Drosophila melanogaster: one gene and its partners. The protein of the gene in region 3 interacts with the protein of the main gene of each other region in a pairwise test. Each region holds a gene or a part of one and is shown on either strand. Other genes may lie near its edges.

What was found.
Region 1: the proteins of CG14546 (region 3) and Gp150 interact in a two-hybrid assay, tested with the Drosophila melanogaster proteins (one large-scale study listed by BioGRID).
Region 2: the proteins of CG14546 (region 3) and brwl interact in a two-hybrid assay, tested with the Drosophila melanogaster proteins (one large-scale study listed by BioGRID).

The regions. Positions count from the first base shown.
Region 1 is NT_033778.4:22,321,103-22,328,984, reverse strand, and holds the start of Gp150 (Gp150), read right to left. Parts: upstream 6,083-7,882; 5' UTR 6,016-6,082; coding exon 5,960-6,015; intron 3,868-5,959; exon of another isoform or gene 3,811-3,867; coding exon 3,258-3,810; intron 3,203-3,257; coding exon 2,648-3,202; intron 2,590-2,647; coding exon 855-2,589; intron 793-854; coding exon 461-792; 3' UTR 1-460.
Region 2 is NT_033779.5:9,566,986-9,574,135, reverse strand, and holds brwl (brickwall), read right to left. Parts: upstream 5,247-7,150; 5' UTR 4,938-5,246; intron 3,866-4,937; exon of another isoform or gene 2,722-3,865; intron 2,660-2,721; 5' UTR 2,628-2,659; coding exon 2,383-2,627; intron 2,295-2,382; coding exon 2,242-2,294; intron 2,181-2,241; coding exon 1,171-2,180; 3' UTR 564-1,170; downstream 1-563. Other genes in the region: Mtpalpha (mitochondrial trifunctional protein alpha subunit), read left to right, coding at 1-366.
Region 3 is NT_033777.3:25,920,461-25,924,189, forward strand, and holds CG14546 (uncharacterized protein), read right to left. Parts: upstream 2,175-3,729; 5' UTR 2,038-2,174; coding exon 1,539-2,037; intron 1,441-1,538; coding exon 773-1,440; 3' UTR 582-772; downstream 1-581.

The DNA of each region.
Region 1 (7,882 bases), on a different chromosome or scaffold from region 3:
AGTTGTTCCCGGATATGGACTAATTGGATACGGATTGTGGGCAGAGGTTTGATAAATTGCAAATCCGTTGCTTTCGAAACGGTTGCTCATCAAACGCGTTCTCTGAAAGCCCACCTCTGCTGTTGCCAAGGACCTTTGACTGGTCTTAACAGTATTTGATGGTACAGGATATTTCAAGGATAAAGGATTTTGTCAAAGATTTATTCTCTCTCTTTCAATCTCTTATTTGGATTCAAGTATTTTTTAGTTGTTGCTTTGTTTCCTCGCACTTTCGCTAATACTTTTAACTGCCACCTACTGCTCCTCCTCCTGTTTCTTACATTCTTGTGCTTGTGTTTAGTCAATTGTCTGATGTGATTTTCCACTTTTTCAACTATCAATATACTTATAAATTAGAAAAACAGCGCAACTCGTTCGATTTCCGCGGCCACCGGCCCGGAACTGCTGATTCTAGGTGGACTTAGACCTGATTGATGGGCGCGTATCGGTGCACCTTTGGCTGCTTCAGATGCTTGGGCTCCTTCTGCTCCTTGCTGGTCGGCTTCACGATGTCCTCGCTCAACTTCTGGTATACGAACGAGTTCTTTGAGGCCAGCAGCGCCATGCGATAGCGCTCGCCGCGCTTGCGCAGCACCACGTAGATCACTCGGGCGATGGACAGCACGATCATCAGGAGGCAGAAGGACACGACGATCAGTGGGACCACCAGGTCGTAGGATAGTTCGCCGTGGAAGATCATCTTCTCGGTGTACTCATCTGACTCCTCGCTTTCGCTGTCGAAGCCCAGTTTCTCTGAGAAGGTAAAACATACGATTGGAATACATTCCATCAACGAATGATTGGCTAAAACTTACCCAGAAGGAATTTATCACGGGTCTCCTGAGACATGTCCACTTCCTCCGCCTGGATACCATCGGTCTTCAGGACTGGCTTCAGTTCCTTGTTCACGAACGTGTCGAAGGCCTTGTTAGCATCGGCCTTAGCCTTGGCATTCTTCTTGGCCTCCTCGAAGCGATCATCATCGTTGTTGTCATCATCATCGTCCTCATCATCGTCATCATCATCCTCCTCACTGTCATAGTCACTGCTGTCATCCTCCTTATCCTCGCCGCCATTGTTCAGATTCTCCTCGTCAGCATCTTCCTCAGGCTTCGCGGTTTCAGTGTTCACCGATCCCTTCATGATCTTCTGCATGCTGCTCAGCCTGCTCTTGTCTAGCACACTCTTGTCCAGGACACTCAGCAACTTAGCCTCATCCTCGTTAAGCTTCTTCACGCTTTCCTTCAGACGCTTCTCCAGTTTGGCTTCGGCACTGTCGGCCTTCTTTTCGTCCAAGAGATCTGATCCTTCGGCATGCTTGCACACCTCGTGGGCCAAAGACGACCAACCAGCCTGAGCCAGAGTCTCCAGCTGCACAATAGTAGCATCGTCCTCCAGATTGGCCAGCACGGGCAGACGCTTGGGAGTCATCTGCATCTGAAGAGTGACGTAGCTGATGAACTCCTGGAAGTCGGGAGTGCACTTCAGCGGATTGTTGGTGATATCCAGAGAACGCAGGTTCTTGAAGCTCTTCACATCCTCCGAAGAGATCTTCTTGATCAAATTACCAGAGGCGTTAAAGGAGCGCAGGCTGTCAAAGATCTTGTAACCCGCACCCAAGTCGCGATCGGAGAGCAAGGTGGTAAGCTCGCAGTCATTGACGTCCAGGCATCGCAGTTGGTGCAGCGGCAGGAAGAGGCGGACGGACAAGCGGCTAATGGGATTTCCAGCCAGACTGAGCTTAGTCAGCTCTCCGTTGTCCATGAAGATCAGATCGTCCATGCGGGTGATCAGGTTGTTGCTCAGATCCAAGTCAATCAGCTTGTGCAGTCCAGTGAAAATCTCGCGCGGCAGATGATTAATGTTGTTCCAGGCCAACTTCAAGGTGGTCAAATGCGGCATAGTGGAGAAGGCCTTGTGACCCAATGGACCGATGGCGCAATTGGAAATATCCAGGTAGTAGACGGTGAACTCCCCACTGTAGCTCAAGAAGCCATCGGTGGGCAACTGGCTCAGACGAGGATTGTCGTTCAAACGGATCACATCCAGCTCAGAGTTCTTAAAGAACAGCATTCCCGAGATCTGGTCCAGATCGTTGATGGACAAATCGATGTGGCGCAGGTTCTTCAAAGTAAGGAACGAGTCCGGTTGGATCTTCTTAATGCCATTGCCCTTGAGGTTCAGGTTGGTCAGACCGGGCATCTTGTCGAACATGCTGTGGTGCACTTGGACAATCGAGTTAAAGCTCAAGTCCAGCTGCTGCAGATCCTTGGTGCCAAAGTGCAGATCGCCATTGAAGGTATTGTACTTCAGGTGCAGTATGGACAGGGTGGTGCCATTGAAGATATCGCGGGGCAATTCAGTCAGCGAGTTGTAAGACAGATCCAATTCTTCCAGAAGAGTAACCTTCTCGAAAGCCTTCTCGGGCAGTTTCTTGAGACTGTTCTGGCTCAAGTTAATGTAGACGACATTGGATAGATGGGAGAAGGCCTTGGGATTCAACTCCATAAGGTTGTTGCGCGAGAAGTCCAGCTCCTCAATGCTGGAAGACTGCAAAATTATAATTTATTAGCTGGATTTCAAGGTAAAGGTTTTTGAAATCACTCACCTTCAGCAAATAGTGAATGCTGGACATCACACTCAAGTCGTTACCCGAAATGGTCAGCATGCGCAGTTTCTTGTTTCCAACAAAGGTATCGGGATTAATGATAGCCAAACCAACATCCGTCAAGTTAACAGCGTACAGCTCGTTCAGTCCGTGGAAGGCCTCGGCGTGCAGGTACTCCAAGGTGCAGTTGGCGATCTTGATGGAAGCCACGTTCTTAAGACCCAGATTCTGGAAGAAGTTGGGTCCCATCAGGATGGGGTACTTAGGACCCACATTGGTCACAACCAAATCCGTAATGTCAGAGCCAAACTTCTGGATGCCCATGTCAAGTCTGCTGCAGGTGGCCACCAGATAGCTGTTGACATTCCGGGCACACTGGCAGAATCTTGGACACGGAACGTCCTCGCTGAAGACAACTTGCTCATCATCGGTCAAAAGGTCGTCAGCGGCATCGTCCTCGTCATCATCATCATCCAGACCCTCGTCGTAGTCATATTGAGAGTCGCTGTCGATATCGTTAGCACTCTCTTTGGTCTTTTGGTCGTTGGATTTGCTCTGTAAAGTACGAAAACATATTTATTTGAATTTAAGGATGATGGGGGAAGTATACCTTGGACTTCGTGATGGTGGCATCCACAATGGGCTGCAGCTTGGGGTTGCTCTTGGCCTTCTTGGGACTGGGGGAAATCGTCACCGTCTCCTCATCGAAATAGTTGTAATCATCATCGTAGTCATAGTATTCGCTATCGTCGGTATCGGTGGAGTTCTTCTCCCCGGCGGCGACGGTAGTATTGAGCATCTTGTTGAAGTGTGGATCATCAGCCAAAGCTTGGCTGTGCTTGGCCGCCTCCATCAGATCATTCCAAGCCTCCTCGCTAAGGGACTTCTCGGTGCCGGAGGACGTGGTTTTTTTTGTGGGGCTCCTGGTGGTCGTCTCCACGGGTAAATCCTTTACCTTGGGGGTGGAGATTTTGGGCAGACTCTCGGTCGGGCTCACCTCCTCTCCAGAGTTCAGCTCGTTTTCCGTCAGATCGTCATGAATGAAGTGGATCTTGGGGCCCACGGTATTTGAGTGGCTGGCGTGGATTAGGGCCAGGGTAAAGGCCAGCAGCAGGACTAGCCTGCAAGTCGACTGGCGACTCATTTTCCTGTAGATGGGCAAACTGAAATGGACCAGGAAATTCAACGTTATACAGTACAGTAATGGCCGCTTCTGAGAAAATGACAAAAACAGACGACTCACACCCAACGGGCCCTATCTTATCGCTAATTGCTGGAGCCAGATAAGTAGATATGCGTTTATTGAATCAACCACATTCTGGAGAGGTGGCCGAGCTCATGGCTGGTCTCAGAATGCGCACATTGTCCACCTATTTCCTTAAAAATCACCGATCTGCATGACGAAATGGTGAGCCAAGTTGACTGCCCCAATTAGCACATTGGCACCCGGAGAGTTGACATCATTTCGCATGCTAATTTAGTAGGTACACTACATTCGAATCGACGAATTTCCAAATGTTTGCTTATCGTTTAATGGCAATTGTTTTGCACCCCATATGATTCGCTGCGTATTTTCAACACGTTACTCAGAATCCAGTGAAAGCACAATTCGCACTACCGTATCCGCAAAGTACTTCCCTTATTGATTAGTACTGTATACATCATCTAACAGTAATGCATATGCCGAAAATAGTTTCTGGAGAATTGCTGACTCTCAATCTCGCGATTCGAGTTGGTCTGTCATCAACTGGAGCTTGTTTATTTGAGTTTCAGTTTGCTTGCCCTTTGATTGCACGCGACTGGTTTGGTTACCCTAACTAAACGATTGGGTAATCACATTGTGCTTTTTGGAATCGATTCGATATGAGGGAATCCCCACTGAGCGTTTCTTGACGCCGATTATGAACTCGTTTGCCAGCTCGCTGATTCTAAGAAATTCTCAAAACCAGACTGAAAACTCGACGCTCTCCAGGTCTCTTATGCAATTTACGTAGTTTTGGAATGCATTTTCCACCCATTCGATGCGGATTCCATGGCGGATGGCCCTATTGAAAGACCGCCTGTGTTTGCCTTCGTTTTCATGGCAAAGCAAACACATAATTCGAGACCGTGGCTCGCCGAGTGGTAAACAAAGAGCTTTGGGTATTATTGCTTTTCGTAACCAGGCAAACGACCCGGGATCGCGAGAGATCCGACTCCGCCAGCAAAGTGTAAAATGCAAAATGCGCAGTTAAGGCGGCCAGAATAGATCGCATTTATCCAGCCAATACACAGTATGGCGGCTATGGGAACATATGTGCGCACATATCGTATGTTAGAGCATTTCATTAGACCCCACAGCAAACCGCTTAGCAGCCAGCTCCGCGTTGCGAGTGGGTGTCAGGTTGACTGGGAGCCTGACACAAGCGCGAAGGGAAAACTGCAGTCTCGAGATCGCATTAAACGTGTTTAGGTCTCTCGGCTAACACATTTCATCGAGTCAAGAAAGACAGCGGTTTTTGGCTCGCTTGAAATTGGCTTTGGCTTTAGCTTTGGCCAAGGCGCCGCCGACACTCCGACCATAATTAATTCCATTTCTGTCATTGCAGCGATATATGTATGTATATATGTCTGTATACACAGATGTCCGCTTGAACTGGGCTATACGAGGGTAGACTCTGTTCAAGTTTAGAGAGAAACCGGTAACTGGCACTGGCACTGGCCATACTTGTACATGTATGCAAATACGTTTTCCACTCGGAAATTCGTGAGTCAGCCAATTCATCATATTGCTGCGGCTATCTACAGCTGTAAAGATTAGACTAGTCGGGATATATCCAATCGGTAAGCCCCATCCCTCCATTGATCTGTCTCCCCCGCCAGTAAATAAAAATCTATAACTGAGTGCTTTGTAGTGTCGTGCATCTAATTAACGTCCAGCTAATGGGGAAATGCTTTCCTGAAACTGTTTCTAGAACACTTTGACATTCGATCGAGATAAACCCTGATCTGGCCCTGTCATACATAATGGCCCCGTACTTAACGTAACCCGATACGGAAACACTTTGGATCGCTTCGTTTAAAGGCACACTTCCACAGAGTATCAGAGTATCGCCTAACAAAATGATTTCGAGTCTTGATACAAGACACGATTTGTTTAAACGTAAACCTCTATTCAATTTATTAGTATATTTTGATTTGGCTCCATTGGTTGTCTTTCGGTTTTTATCAACTGGTTCACAGACGGTTGGCATGTGGTCGGTTTTGTCAACAGATTAGAATTATAAACGCTTCCCATGAGACCCGCCAACCCACATTTAAGTATCAAGTTACCCAGAAATGTCATGTGGATTGGAGAGCAGATGGGGCCCGGTTATCAAATTGTGCATGGGTGCGTCGTCGATCGGAAATTGGAAACTGGGTGCGACCCTTGGGCAGTCAATATACCAAGTATATGCCCGAAAAATATCTGCATTCCTCTGGGTAGAGAGATCCCGTTGATTAGCAAGGTTGGCTAATGAACCTCGAACTCAGGTAGTTTCGCCTTGATTCCGTCTTACGATCAACACAAATGTGTCTCTGGCAAATACCAAGAAATACCCAAAATAATGCGATCATGAGTCTGTGTGCGTGGGCAGATAGTGATTGAGATGTCTGGGTAAAAATAGCTGGCGTTAACAGGAAGTGAAACGAGAGAAACGGACGTGTAGGTAGAATATTGCATTTTTTCGGGAACTTATGTGTCCCCTTTAAAGGATATCGATTCATGGAAAGAGTGGAGGGACAGGCGAAACGGAAATGCCTCAGCTGATGCCTTCATTAGGGTGGCTCAAGCCAATTTCATCCGGCTTTAAATCTGCGGATCACGACATCGTCAAATTTGTTGACCGATTCATTAGCATCACGAGTTGCTGCGGATTTTGACGATTTACGATTGTTATTTCTGCTAGAAAATACACCACTGGCCAACTGCTCAGATATAACATTTCCATCTATATATCATAGTGTATCCCACTCGGTTGAAGCCATTCTGGAATATAATTTCTGCAACGTTAATTTTTTGCAGCCAGGCAGACAGGCAGTACAATGGACAAAATTGCCCAAGGCGTGCACATAAAAAATAAACACAAAAGTATAAAAAATGCCGACATTTGACCACACAGACTAACACGCAGTTGGCACAAAAGGTTGGTACAAAAAGGGGGAAACTGTTGGCTCACAAAGATGGCCAGACTGGTTTTTGGCTGGAAACTGCCACTCGAACTCGGAGCAGATGTGTGAGCCAAGTTAGCCCGGTGGCAGCCAAAAGTCAGGCAGATGACTTTACCAGTTACGAAAAATTCTTGCTAAAAGCCATTTCAATTCGCTCAAACTCAAACATTTCGAAAGGGAATTTCTAAATAATAACCGATGGTGTCACGTTCGAGTTGCTTGAACTCTTCGCACCGAATGTGCTCTATTACAATCAAAATAAAGTCGTTAATGTTTACGTAAATAGTTTAATCGCAATGACACTTTGTAGTGTCTAGTGTGTACATATTGTCTGTAATACTATATGTAGTATATAGTGAGAAGTGTCATAATCAATTAAAATTGCTATTCGATTATAGGAAATCGATTAGCTTATCTAAGAAGGTCACTGGAGCTTAAAAGAGACGCGTACTTGCCAAGTCGGCAAACTAATTACACTTCAGGGTAAAATTTTGCAGCAGCTGCAAGTTCGTGTGAGCGAAACGACATTTCTCAGTTAAGACCTTTTCAAAATTTATCGCGAAGTAATGCCTTCTGATCGATCGGAAATAAAATTGCACCTTGTGTGCTGCATTTTAGTCGATAAAGTGCATTTGCTGTTATCTGAGGGAATTCCCTGCATGGGAATTCAGTGATTAAAACTCCATAAATTGATTTCAGCCATTCGAATCCGAGTTTTATGCCTGCTTCCTCGCCTTGCCAGCAATTGCCCTTTGTTTGGATCGATCGGTGCACCGTATATATAGCCCTGAATCTGAAGCAGGAAGCGTAACATAAATTAAGAACTTAAGGAGGTGGTGCAAATGAGAAACCGGCTTTCACCTGGCGGGGGCGGTTCATTAGCGATATCTGTATCGTATTTCGATCCCAGCTTCCGACTTTTAGAGTGCCGGATAAGTCGATTCTAGCAGTCTGGCTTGTGGCACGACTTTCTGCCCCCAGCTGAAAAGCTGGAAAGCGCTTTTCATTGTGCTTAGTCGTCGGAAACCTGATTTGTTTACCCAG
Region 2 (7,150 bases), on a different chromosome or scaffold from region 3:
AACGATGCTCTCGAAATCGTGAAACAAAAGTACGCTTTAGTCTCAAAGGGAGCCAATGCCCCCGAGGATCTGACGCTGCGTATGGTATCCCGCTTCATCAACGAAGCCGTGCTCTGTCTGGAGGAGAAGATTCTGGACAGTCCGCTGGAGGGCGATGTCGGAGCCGTGTTCGGCCTGGGCTTCCCGCCATTCTCCGGTGGTCCCTTCCGCTGGGTCGATCAGTATGGAGCCGGCAAACTGGTCAGCAAGATGCAATCCTATGCTGAGCTGTACGGAGCTCCCTTCAAGCCCGCTCAGACCCTGCTCGACATGGCTAAGGACCCGTCGAAGAAGTTCTACCCCAAGACTGGCTCCTCGAAGTTGTAGATCCGATCCAATCCGATCCCAGCCTCCGTAGAGCCGCTAACGAAATTTAGCTTTTAGTGCGAAGATAAGTCGTGTCCTTGTGCATTTCTCTCAGAAAGGAAACCTATTGTGGTCCATCGCTGCCTAAAAAATGGGGCAAGGCCCAATAAAAAGCCCTCTGTTGAAGTTGTCGACAATTAAATTAAAGTTTACCGTGTAATTTTCCATACTTTCATTTGTTTATTATTACACACAGCAGTTTGATATCGATCTATCTCTTTATCCCTCTTTGTTTACTCAAACGGAAATTCATTTGTACACAGATTCTATAGTTTAGGTTTCAATAGCAGCGTATATACAGTGTCCTTAAACTAACATATTTTCGAAGCAGCCATTTTCTAAAATCTTGAAATCTATTTTCACAATTCCTTAACTGCTACGTCAGAACTAAATGGCTTATAAGGAGACCTCATTACTTCTTGTTCGTTGAATGTGTTCGATTTCGGAATAGCTTTAAATGTATATATTAGTTGTTCATATATATATGTATATATTTGGTCATGCAAGTTCTTGCAGCTCTTTGTAAATGGACCATTCATAATGGTTGGTCAAAATCGAAACAATTCGCGGACTTGAAAGAATTGAAGGCCTTTGAAAACATACCCATCTTATTGAGTAGACACAACACATTAACAGTGAGCGGACTGAAGTAGCTCAGATTCGAATTAGTACCCATTCCAGCTTCAGATCCCCCTTAAGCTTCTAACTAAACTTATCCTATCCCTAGTTAAGGATTAGTGACTTTCCGATACACTTTCTATTCCTTTATTGTTTCCTCCAATCGCGTCCAGAGCTGCGCCTTTGATGCTTAACAGATCCCCCATTGCTGCTACCGCCACTTCCGTTGACTACGCCAGATACGCCTCCTCCGTTGCTGTGATCCTGGGCGGGATATCGGGTTACAACGTCGTCAATTAGCTCCAGAATGCCAATCTTGAACTTGCGACGTTGCTGTGGAGTGAGAGTCGCCAGATCTGGGAGAATGCTGCGGAAGAACTCCATGTCCGCCACTTCCGACGAACTCAGTCCGCCGTAAATACTTCCTGCATTCGTCATCGTGCTGGTGGCCTCGCATTCCGTCTTGATTCTTTTCGTGCTCCCCGGTTCGTAGGATGCTGGGTGATGATCCATGGACAATGTCAAAGGATGTGGATGCGAGTGCGGATGGTAGTGCAGAGGCGGTGGTGTGCCATGTCCACCATCGCTGTAGATGAGTTGCGAGCCCGTCTCGGCCAGCTGCACATCTGGAATGAAGTTTTTCATGCTATCCGCACTAGCGGTATCGCTTCTGGCCGGTGAATTGCCTCCGCCTCCTTGAAGGGCAGAACTGCGAGTGGGCGTGGACGAAGTACGATTCATACCCAGGGTGTTGGTAACCGCGGGATCAAAGGCGTCGATGGTCTCCTCATCGTCCTTCTCCGATATCGAGTACTTCATCTCCAAGACCTCCATACTCTCACCATTATGGACGTCGTTGTTATTATTATTATTATTGATGCTAGTGTTGGCGCAGTACTTGTGCTCCTCGGTCGCATGGAGTGCTGGATGCAGGAGAAATGGTTGATGCTGCAAATGCTGCTGGGACATCTGGTACAGAGTGGCCAGACTGTTGTTCCCCTCCAAAGAGTTACGGCTGGACTTCAGGAAGGGCAGCAGGAACGCCATGTGCTCGGTCAGGTAGTATGGCTTGTGCTGCGGCTCCGATCCGGATTGCTGCTTTATGTAGCGGGATAGGCAGGCCCGAAGGTTTCGCCATCGCTCCTTGCAATGGATCACTAAAGATTATGAAAGTTCTGATTAATTTAAGGGATTAATGTTTTTCCTATTATTGCTTACCGCTTTCTCTTGTCTCCTTTGAAATAAGCACCCAAGCCTTTTCCTGATTATCCCTGTAAAAAGTTATTTAAATTAGTTAAGACTGAACGTACGGAACGATCTGGATCGTATCTTCTGGCAGCCGATGGACTCGCCACTCACCTGTTGCGGTACTCGGGCACCTTCTTGTCGTAGAGACACTTGTGGGTGCGCACCAGGTTGACGAAGCGGATGTTGAAGTCCTCGTCCGCCTGCATCACTCGGTTGGTGGATCCAATAGAGGCGCCTGCTGTTCCGGATCCCGAACCCGTTGGACTGTGGTGGTTGTAGGCGGTGGTGCCGTTGGAGGTTCGCTCCTCGTGCTCGCTGCTGTGGTTGTTGCTGCTGCTGCGGGTTGAGGTGGTCATATTCGTTGGCGGTATCGTCCCTCACAGAGCCACTAAAAGATACGTTTTAAATTTGAAGTCTATTTAGAGAAATGTTAAAATAAACAGCGATTACCAGGGGTTTGAACGGGTTTGCTGTCATGTTGCACGTTATGATCTCAAGAAATGGCAACTTCAAGTTAAGTTAGCCACTCCAATATTTGATTTTTAGACTTTCCTATCGATGTATGTATGTACCATACATACATATGTATTTATATACAATCCTATTTATTTTTGAGCTGGCAAACAAACAGAATTCTCAACGACTCTTTTTCAGCTTTTTTGCCTTTTCTGCTGGGGTTTTGTGTTCGGTTTCTTTTCGTTTTGTCGTGTTATTTGTTTGTGTGTTGGTTTCTGTTCAGTTCGGTTCAGTTGTGTTCTGTTCAGTTCTGTTCCGCTGTCTGTTGCTGCTGTCTCAGCAAACGAGGCATAGAGCTTTTCGCTCATATATATTTCGTGAAACTTAATAAAACATTGTTGTAGCCGTGGCCGTTGTTGTCGTTGTAGTTGTAGTTGTAGCTGTAGTTGCCATTATATTCAGTACAGTTTGGCTAGCTGGATAGGATAGGAAAGCATTGCGTTGCGTTGATGTTGACAACTCGGCGGCGAAACGACGACAGCCAGCAACTTTGTTTACTTTTCATATTATTATAGCCACAGCAGCGACAATGGCAGCGGCCATAAAAATAACAGGCAATCTGGCTGTTTGTGCTGCTTGTTTGTGTTTTTGTTGCCGTTTGTTTCTGTTGCTGTTGCTGCTGGCGTCGAAAGCTGAAAGCTTTTGTCTGCTTCACTGATAACAGCAACAACAGCACAACTAAAGCAGCAGCAACAAAACAACAGTAACAACAACAACAGAATGCTTCAGCAACAACAGCAACACTCTGCTGCAGCAGCAGCAATTCAGTGCAGCAAGCAATGTTGTGTTGCAATATCCGAAAACATGTTGGCCAAAACCAAATCCGCTGAATAGTCACGAATATGTGTGCGAGTACCCACCGCACTCACTGCTCACTACTTGCAAACGATTCGCTCTCGCACCTGCGACTACCTGTTTCGATTCTAATCAGCCCACTCCACCTGTCCATTCACTCGACTGCCTACCCTTTTGCCGTCAGCCCCTTTCTATCGCGGCGACACTTGGGCCGCTCTTAAATCTCCGACAGTTTTCCCGCCACTTTCAGCACCTTTTGGGCCCACCAGTTTTGCAAAGCGAAAAACGTGCGCACAGTGGGATGGAAGTAATCGAAAAAGGGCATTACCAAAAGTATATCAAGGAAAAATATAATAACAATTTCCACATTGCTTGGAAACCTATTAGATGGTATTTTATATGTATATATATATTTTTTGGACATCTGTAAGTAAATCTCTGGAAAATCGTAGGTAATAATTCCCTTCAACTATTAATCTTAATATCAGGTTCAGAGTCCAATAAGTTTTCTATTTTTTCGGACATAAAAAAGTAGCAAGAGAAAACTCTAGCACTCTAAGCTGAACCAAACAAAAAATTAATATTGCTTTCCATTTTCGTAACACTTTGGTCCCACTGTGCGCTGGCAGCATTGTTGTGTTCTTTGGCCAGTCATCATTATTATCAGCGAACATCATTATCAAGGCGAACGTTGCTCGCGTGTTTTGGCTCTGCCCGTTGTTGTTTTTGTTAATGTTATTGTTGGATTGCTGTGTGCGGTGTGGGCGGGGGGAAAATGGAATGGAATGGGAATGGCGACTGGAAGGGGCAGAAAAACAACTAACCTGGGCTATATGGCAATATTTATTGTATTACGTCTATTTAACATAAACATATCAGCATGAGCGCGTACTAATTCCTTGAGAAATGTTCATGTTTATCTATTAACAACGGGGCTCAGCAAAAAGTACAGCAACGTACAAATCGAAAAACACAGAATCAGCAACAGCCAAACACAAAACCCAACGGAAAACAAAAACAACAACAAAAAAAAAGAATTTATTTCTAAAGCTAACAAAACACAGAAAACTTGCAGAAATACCCGGCCCGCTCTTTGTTTCCCTCCACCAACAAAAATACATACAGTATATTGTATATTCCGTGGCCCAATGACAGCAACAACAACAATCGCAATAACTTTGTTAGATAGACAACAACAACAACAACAATACACACAATACACACACACATTCACAGGCAATCGCACACAAGGAAACAATATGGCATATAGAATTTTTCTTTCTGCTGCTTATCAGGCTGTTATTGTTGCTGTTGTTCCTAACTTGTGATGTTGTTCCAAGCAAAGAATTCATTACCTTTTGGTTGGTATTCGTCGTTGGATTACAGAAAAACTCCTGTTGCAGAGGCGATTTCAAAACGCAACAACTCCTTGCTCGCAGCGATTTCAAAACGACACGATGCACGGCACACAAATAAAACGGCGCCAAAAATATTTTTGTTGCTGCTGCTGCTGCAGCGACCGACGACTGACGTAACGTTCAAAAATGTTGAATTCGAAAACTCGCGGTCGAGTCGACGGTGCACGGCGCTCGGGAATCGGCGGCGGACTGTTGGATTGTTGGCAATGTCGTATGTTTCGCGTACCAAGCGACCAAGGCGACTAAGCACACAGAGAAAAACACACAGACACAGCCACAAATGCGACTGCTGCCCTGCGAGAGCGAGCGGTGCACTGAGAGAAATAGAGTTGTCACTTGGCAATTGTGAAATGTAATATAAAGATGTTTTAAATTGGTAATGTATTATTAGCCCCAAACTTAATTAAAGGGAAAAATATAAAATTATTTGCAGACTTTATTAATGATCCATGTAAGCGGTATTAATTTAATAGTTATGAGGTTCAAACAAGTACCAATTAAACACGTATTCCCTCAGTGTATCAACCAGTATCTATCGGCTACGTAGAACACTGAAGCAACAGCAACAACATGACACGAGTGGACGGCGAGCAAACAGAGAACAACGCACACTCTCCGCCGCACACACACAGATACTAACACGGACACACACCAATGCGCCAATACAAACACACACAGCTGGCTGCTCAACAGCAGGGAACTTTTTATTGTTGTTGCTGGCAACGAACAACAAATAAGACAAACAATGCACACGCACACGAATGACGAGTGTTTTCGAGTCGGAGAAACGGCAACTGCGCGGTACGAAATGCAAAGATACAGATACAATGAGTTGGTTGTCGGTTGTGGAGGGTAGGAAAGGGACACAGGCCAACAAAAATAGTTGCACTGCATCAAGAGTGTTGCCTGTCGTTAGAGGCTAGTCACCCACCCCGAAAGGATCTCTCAAAGGATCAGCGGACTACTAGGTAATCCTGATCGAAATCGATTGATTCAAATGGATTTTCAAAAGATATATCATGTTCAAGATCTTTTTGTTGGGCAATACAATTTTTACATATGTATGTTGATTGTTATGTTGAATATAACTTCAGGCTTATTATTACTGTCTAATGGTAATGTTTCTATTTATTTCCACGTCCATTAACATGTATAATTGGTTTTCCCCAAAATATGTTAGTGAACAGGTGACAGTCGCAAATAGAAAATACACATTTTTTACGCTGTAACTCTGACAAAAAAAATAAAACACAGGAACCCAAATAGTTTACCTGAAAACTTACCTGCGAATTTCCAGTGATCATAATTCCATTGTGCGCTTCTTCTTCTTCTTTGCTCTAACTCTCAGGGAACATTGAAACAACAACAGTTGCTTACTCAGCACCGCACACAAACATAAACTGCGCTCTCACGGACACTACAACAGCTGTCGCTCTCAGAACCAACAACAAAGCGAGCAAACAAAAATCATGTTGTTGTTGCTCACAAAGCTTTGCAATTTCTCTGCCGCTAACATCGCTGCTTTTGTGTAGTTGTTGCTGCCGCCCGAGTTGCCAACAAGCTTTCCAACAACATTTGTTTACATTTCAAATTTATTAGGCGAGCTTTTCGGACATTTGAACAAGCTTCGTGGGCTACTCGCTAGGTGGCGCATGCTACTTCCGGTATAGATTTGAACAGCTATTTTTTTTAATTTACTTCAGAAATAAAATAAGCATTTATGCATATTTAAATATAAATAGATAAATATACCTGTTTCAGTTTCGTTAGAATGCACAATTTACTCTTGACTAAATGACTTCCGAGCAAACAAAATATTTAAACAATATTGTTAATAAAAAATAAGAAATGATTACTTAAGCTCTTACGTTTCCCTCCAACGGTCATTTGATATGTCATTATCCAAACACTCATATTGTTATTCACACGCGAAAAGCTCGACAAAGCTCAAAAGGACTCACTCCTTAGGCCAAAACTGTCAGGGTTTATGTATTCCGCCTGACAGCAGACCACCAACCCAGTTATTTCCAGCACTTTAACGATTTGTTTACAACTTTGTTGCCCTGCAATTTACCGCTAGCATACGGACCTGCCAGCCAGCCCAGCTTTTCACCCCTTTCCGACCGCTTGGAAAAGCTTTTCTCGGCGGG
Region 3 (3,729 bases):
ACACACCAAGCTGCCAGTTTCCGTGGACAATTGTGACTATGATTTCGATATGAATCGTTACTTAAACTCCACTTTAGAATAGTAAGTACATTTCGTGTTTCCGGTAAAAACTTTTATATTTATTAAACATCTTTTTTAATAGCGAACCTCACAGTGGATCATCTATATATCACATGTCATTCCTGTTATACGCTATGTTGGGAGCCCTACTTACAATTATAACTTCAAACTTGGCTACTTTCGTCTACGGACGTCAGGATATCAAGAACGTTGATGAGAATCTTCTGGCACCAGTTGTTCAACGCTACTTGCGAAAAAACAATTACTATCAGAGCGTGGAGCTCAAGAAAGTTGAGGTACCAAAACTCAGTGAAAGTTCCGATTAAGCGATTTGTTGAGCAATGCAGTTGCTGTTACCATTGCTTAACAGTTTTGTTCCTATTGATAAGTATGAATTAGTTCATACATCAACATATTTCCTAATAATTCGATAGAGATTTTGTTTGTTCCTAAAAGGTAAATAAAAGCTTAAGAGGCTTAAAAAAGTGTAAATAAATACAGCAGTAGCTTGCATTCATTTTAGATTAATTAAAACTGTTTGTTTTTATTAAAATTTTTACTATAAAATTGATGTCTCAATTTGCTTTGGCTGCTAAGACTACCAATTGCAAAACACGAAAAGGGTTCCCAATTCATTTGATTCCTATATACGTGCAATGCAATTGGGAGTCTTAACAGATTTTTGTTTCAGGGGCTGCATAAAAGACTACTTCTATTTGCCTTTATTCTGACCAGTTTTGCGAATTAACTTTTGCCGGGGAATTGGACAATTGCGGACGTAAGGTGGATAGGTCATGGCCGGAAGGCAGACAATATTATCCTGTCTGTGGTTAGAAGATCTAGATGAGCTGCTTCTAGAGACTTTTGAAGCATGTTGGTTCTGATTAAACCGCGTAGGATTGGGGGAAGTACGGCCGGAAAGGTCTGGCATGCTGTAAGAAGTGGATTGTCTTGGGAGATCAGGAGCAGTTGCATGCCTTGAAGACGACCGGGACACCTGATTGCTCCTGGCGGTAGACTCCTGATCCGTACTGGAATTGTACAAATGATAAACCAATGGCACCTGCTGTTGGCACAATTGATGTTGCGGGGCTTTCGGCACTCGTTCCTTTGCCTCGCCACCAGTGCTTCTTTTCGAGAGGTCCACACTGGAACTTCTACTTTTACGAACCCGTGCATTTCGCACCTCCTTGCAAGTGCACATCCGCTTCCGTTCTCGTTCCAACTTCCGGTCCCTTTCCAGATCTTGCTCTTCCTTGCGCCGCTGTTTGTTCGCCTTCGCTTGATTGAGCGCTCTGTAGTGCACGGTTTGGTTGTCGATGAGCATTTGGGTAACGAATTTGAATTGGTTCAAGCTCGCTTCACTCTGAGCGGCAATTTCTAAAGGACATCGGTGAAGTTGTGATATAACAGTTTACTACGCTTCTTACATTATAATAATTGATTTTTATTTAATAAAAATTTTTAACCGAACTTACTGTTGGTGACATCGTGATAGATTTTATTGAGCATCGCCTCCTGATTCTGTAGGTCCTTCGACAGTCGTTCCATTTTGGCCACGGATTGCTCAAAGCTCTTGGACACCATTCGCCGCACAGCATCCTGTACCGATTCCAGGACATTATCGTGAATGATGCTAAAGAAGTCGGCAAAGGATTCCTGCAGATCGCGATTGGGATCGTTGCTGGGACTGGAGGTCATTTTATCCGTTTTTCTATCGTCGCCACCAGAATTGCGAGTGTCTTTTTCACTCGAACAAATCACGGGTGTTTCCCGGAATCCTACGCTTTTGGAGGACGAATCCTTGTCCCGCAAAGAGCTCGACTTGGATATATTCCGTTGGCGCTCCGTTCGATGGCGAGTCCTTCTCCTGCCGGCTGACGTCACTGAGGGAGAGGAATGCCGTACTACCTTTCTTTTCAAAACATCATAGCCCGACTGTCTGGCCGATTTCGTAAAGCAGTAATTTGGAAACATGACTTTTTTGACGAATTTTTAGGATGTAGATCGATTTAAAATTGGCGGCTCATGTTATTGTAATGAAATCTTTGCCTTCGCATCATGTGGATGTAAGCTCTTTTGAAATTAAATAGCTTGTTTTTTTTCAGATATTTATTTTGAAAGATAAATCCAAAATGGGATTGCTATAAAACAATTGTTATATCTTCCTATTTGCATAATTTATTGTTCAACTATATTTATTTATCTTCGTTTTGTACTTGTTTCACAAAATCAACATTTTTTATTATAAAATCCATGGTAAATAAGAATGAATACCAATTAAGTAAATAATTTTCCATAAATTTTTTTTCGCAAGACTTCGGCATTGTTTACTAACTCGCTAATAGCAATTCAATTAAAAGTTAATAATTAAATTGCAAAATCATAATTGCAAAAATTTTGCAACTGTCCGCCATCCGAAGTAAGCTTCTTAATGGATTTTTCCTCCTCCGTCGAGTCCAATGAGGCGGATGGCCGACAGGGAAAAGTATTTGTGCGAAAGGACCTGAAATGAATTTATTTGCCAACCATCCCATTAAGTAACCATAGTTTCCATCTGCTCGCCCAACCGATTAAATGTCAGTCAGGAAGTGGAGCAAGTGAATTCGCAAGGGTTGATGCGTATCATGAATTTAACCAGCCTCAAAACAAACATAAACAGTATGAATATCCAGAGTTGGCATGTTAAAATTGCCATTTGCAGACAATAAGAGTAAAGCACATAACCTTTGGCTGTTTGCAGAGCCCACAGCAACCAATATGTTTTCATTGTCTGCCCGGTTTGTCGCTCAATTTATTTGTGATGTTGACTTTCCAACAGTGACGTCAGTGGAGGCCACAGACAATACCACATCATCGCAACAATTATAAATGGTGTGGTGGCGAAAAAACGTCCTTGTGCCCATTGTTCAGTGGGGCGAACTGAAAAGTGGATTTTCCAGCGCGTGCCAGGAAAATGAATGAAAATGCGGGACATTCTTGAAGTCGTTGCCTTTATTCTGCTTTCACACATAATTATGAAATAAATATTAGCTTAAACCAAATTGACTACAACGTTATGCTCTATTAACTCTTATGGTCTACTTATGCTTAATGGGTTTTGGTTTAAGATGCTTGGGCATGTTTATCCACCATTACGAGTGGCTATATACACGGATGAGTTGGAATTTAAATGGCCTTAATAGCTAGTTAGGACTGGAAAGAAATGCATTTTAAATTTCTGATAAATGGCCGCGATTCACATACAAGTAAAATCAGTCTGTTTAAGAGAATATAACTAAACCGAGCTACTAATGGATTGAAACCTAGGTTCTGAGTGGTGGACAAAAAATCTTAATAGTTTTCGAAACACTTATTTCATTAGGATACCATATACTTAAATTAATTTCTCCAGTTTAAAGTTGATTGCAAAAATGCCTAATTAAATGTTTCAGGTAAGTTTTTTGGAAATATAAAACCTTTGTACCAATATCAAATTATAATGGGTTCTTTAGTTAAAATTTAATAAAAATCAAAATCTTGAATAGATTCAATTACCCATTTTGACACTTTAGATTTTTAATTTTAGAGTTAATTAAATGCCGTATAAATGTTATCTTAACTATAGATTGCGAAGTAGAAATAGGTTTGAAATTCGTAGCGTAGACTTGGCGTACTTACGACTAGAAA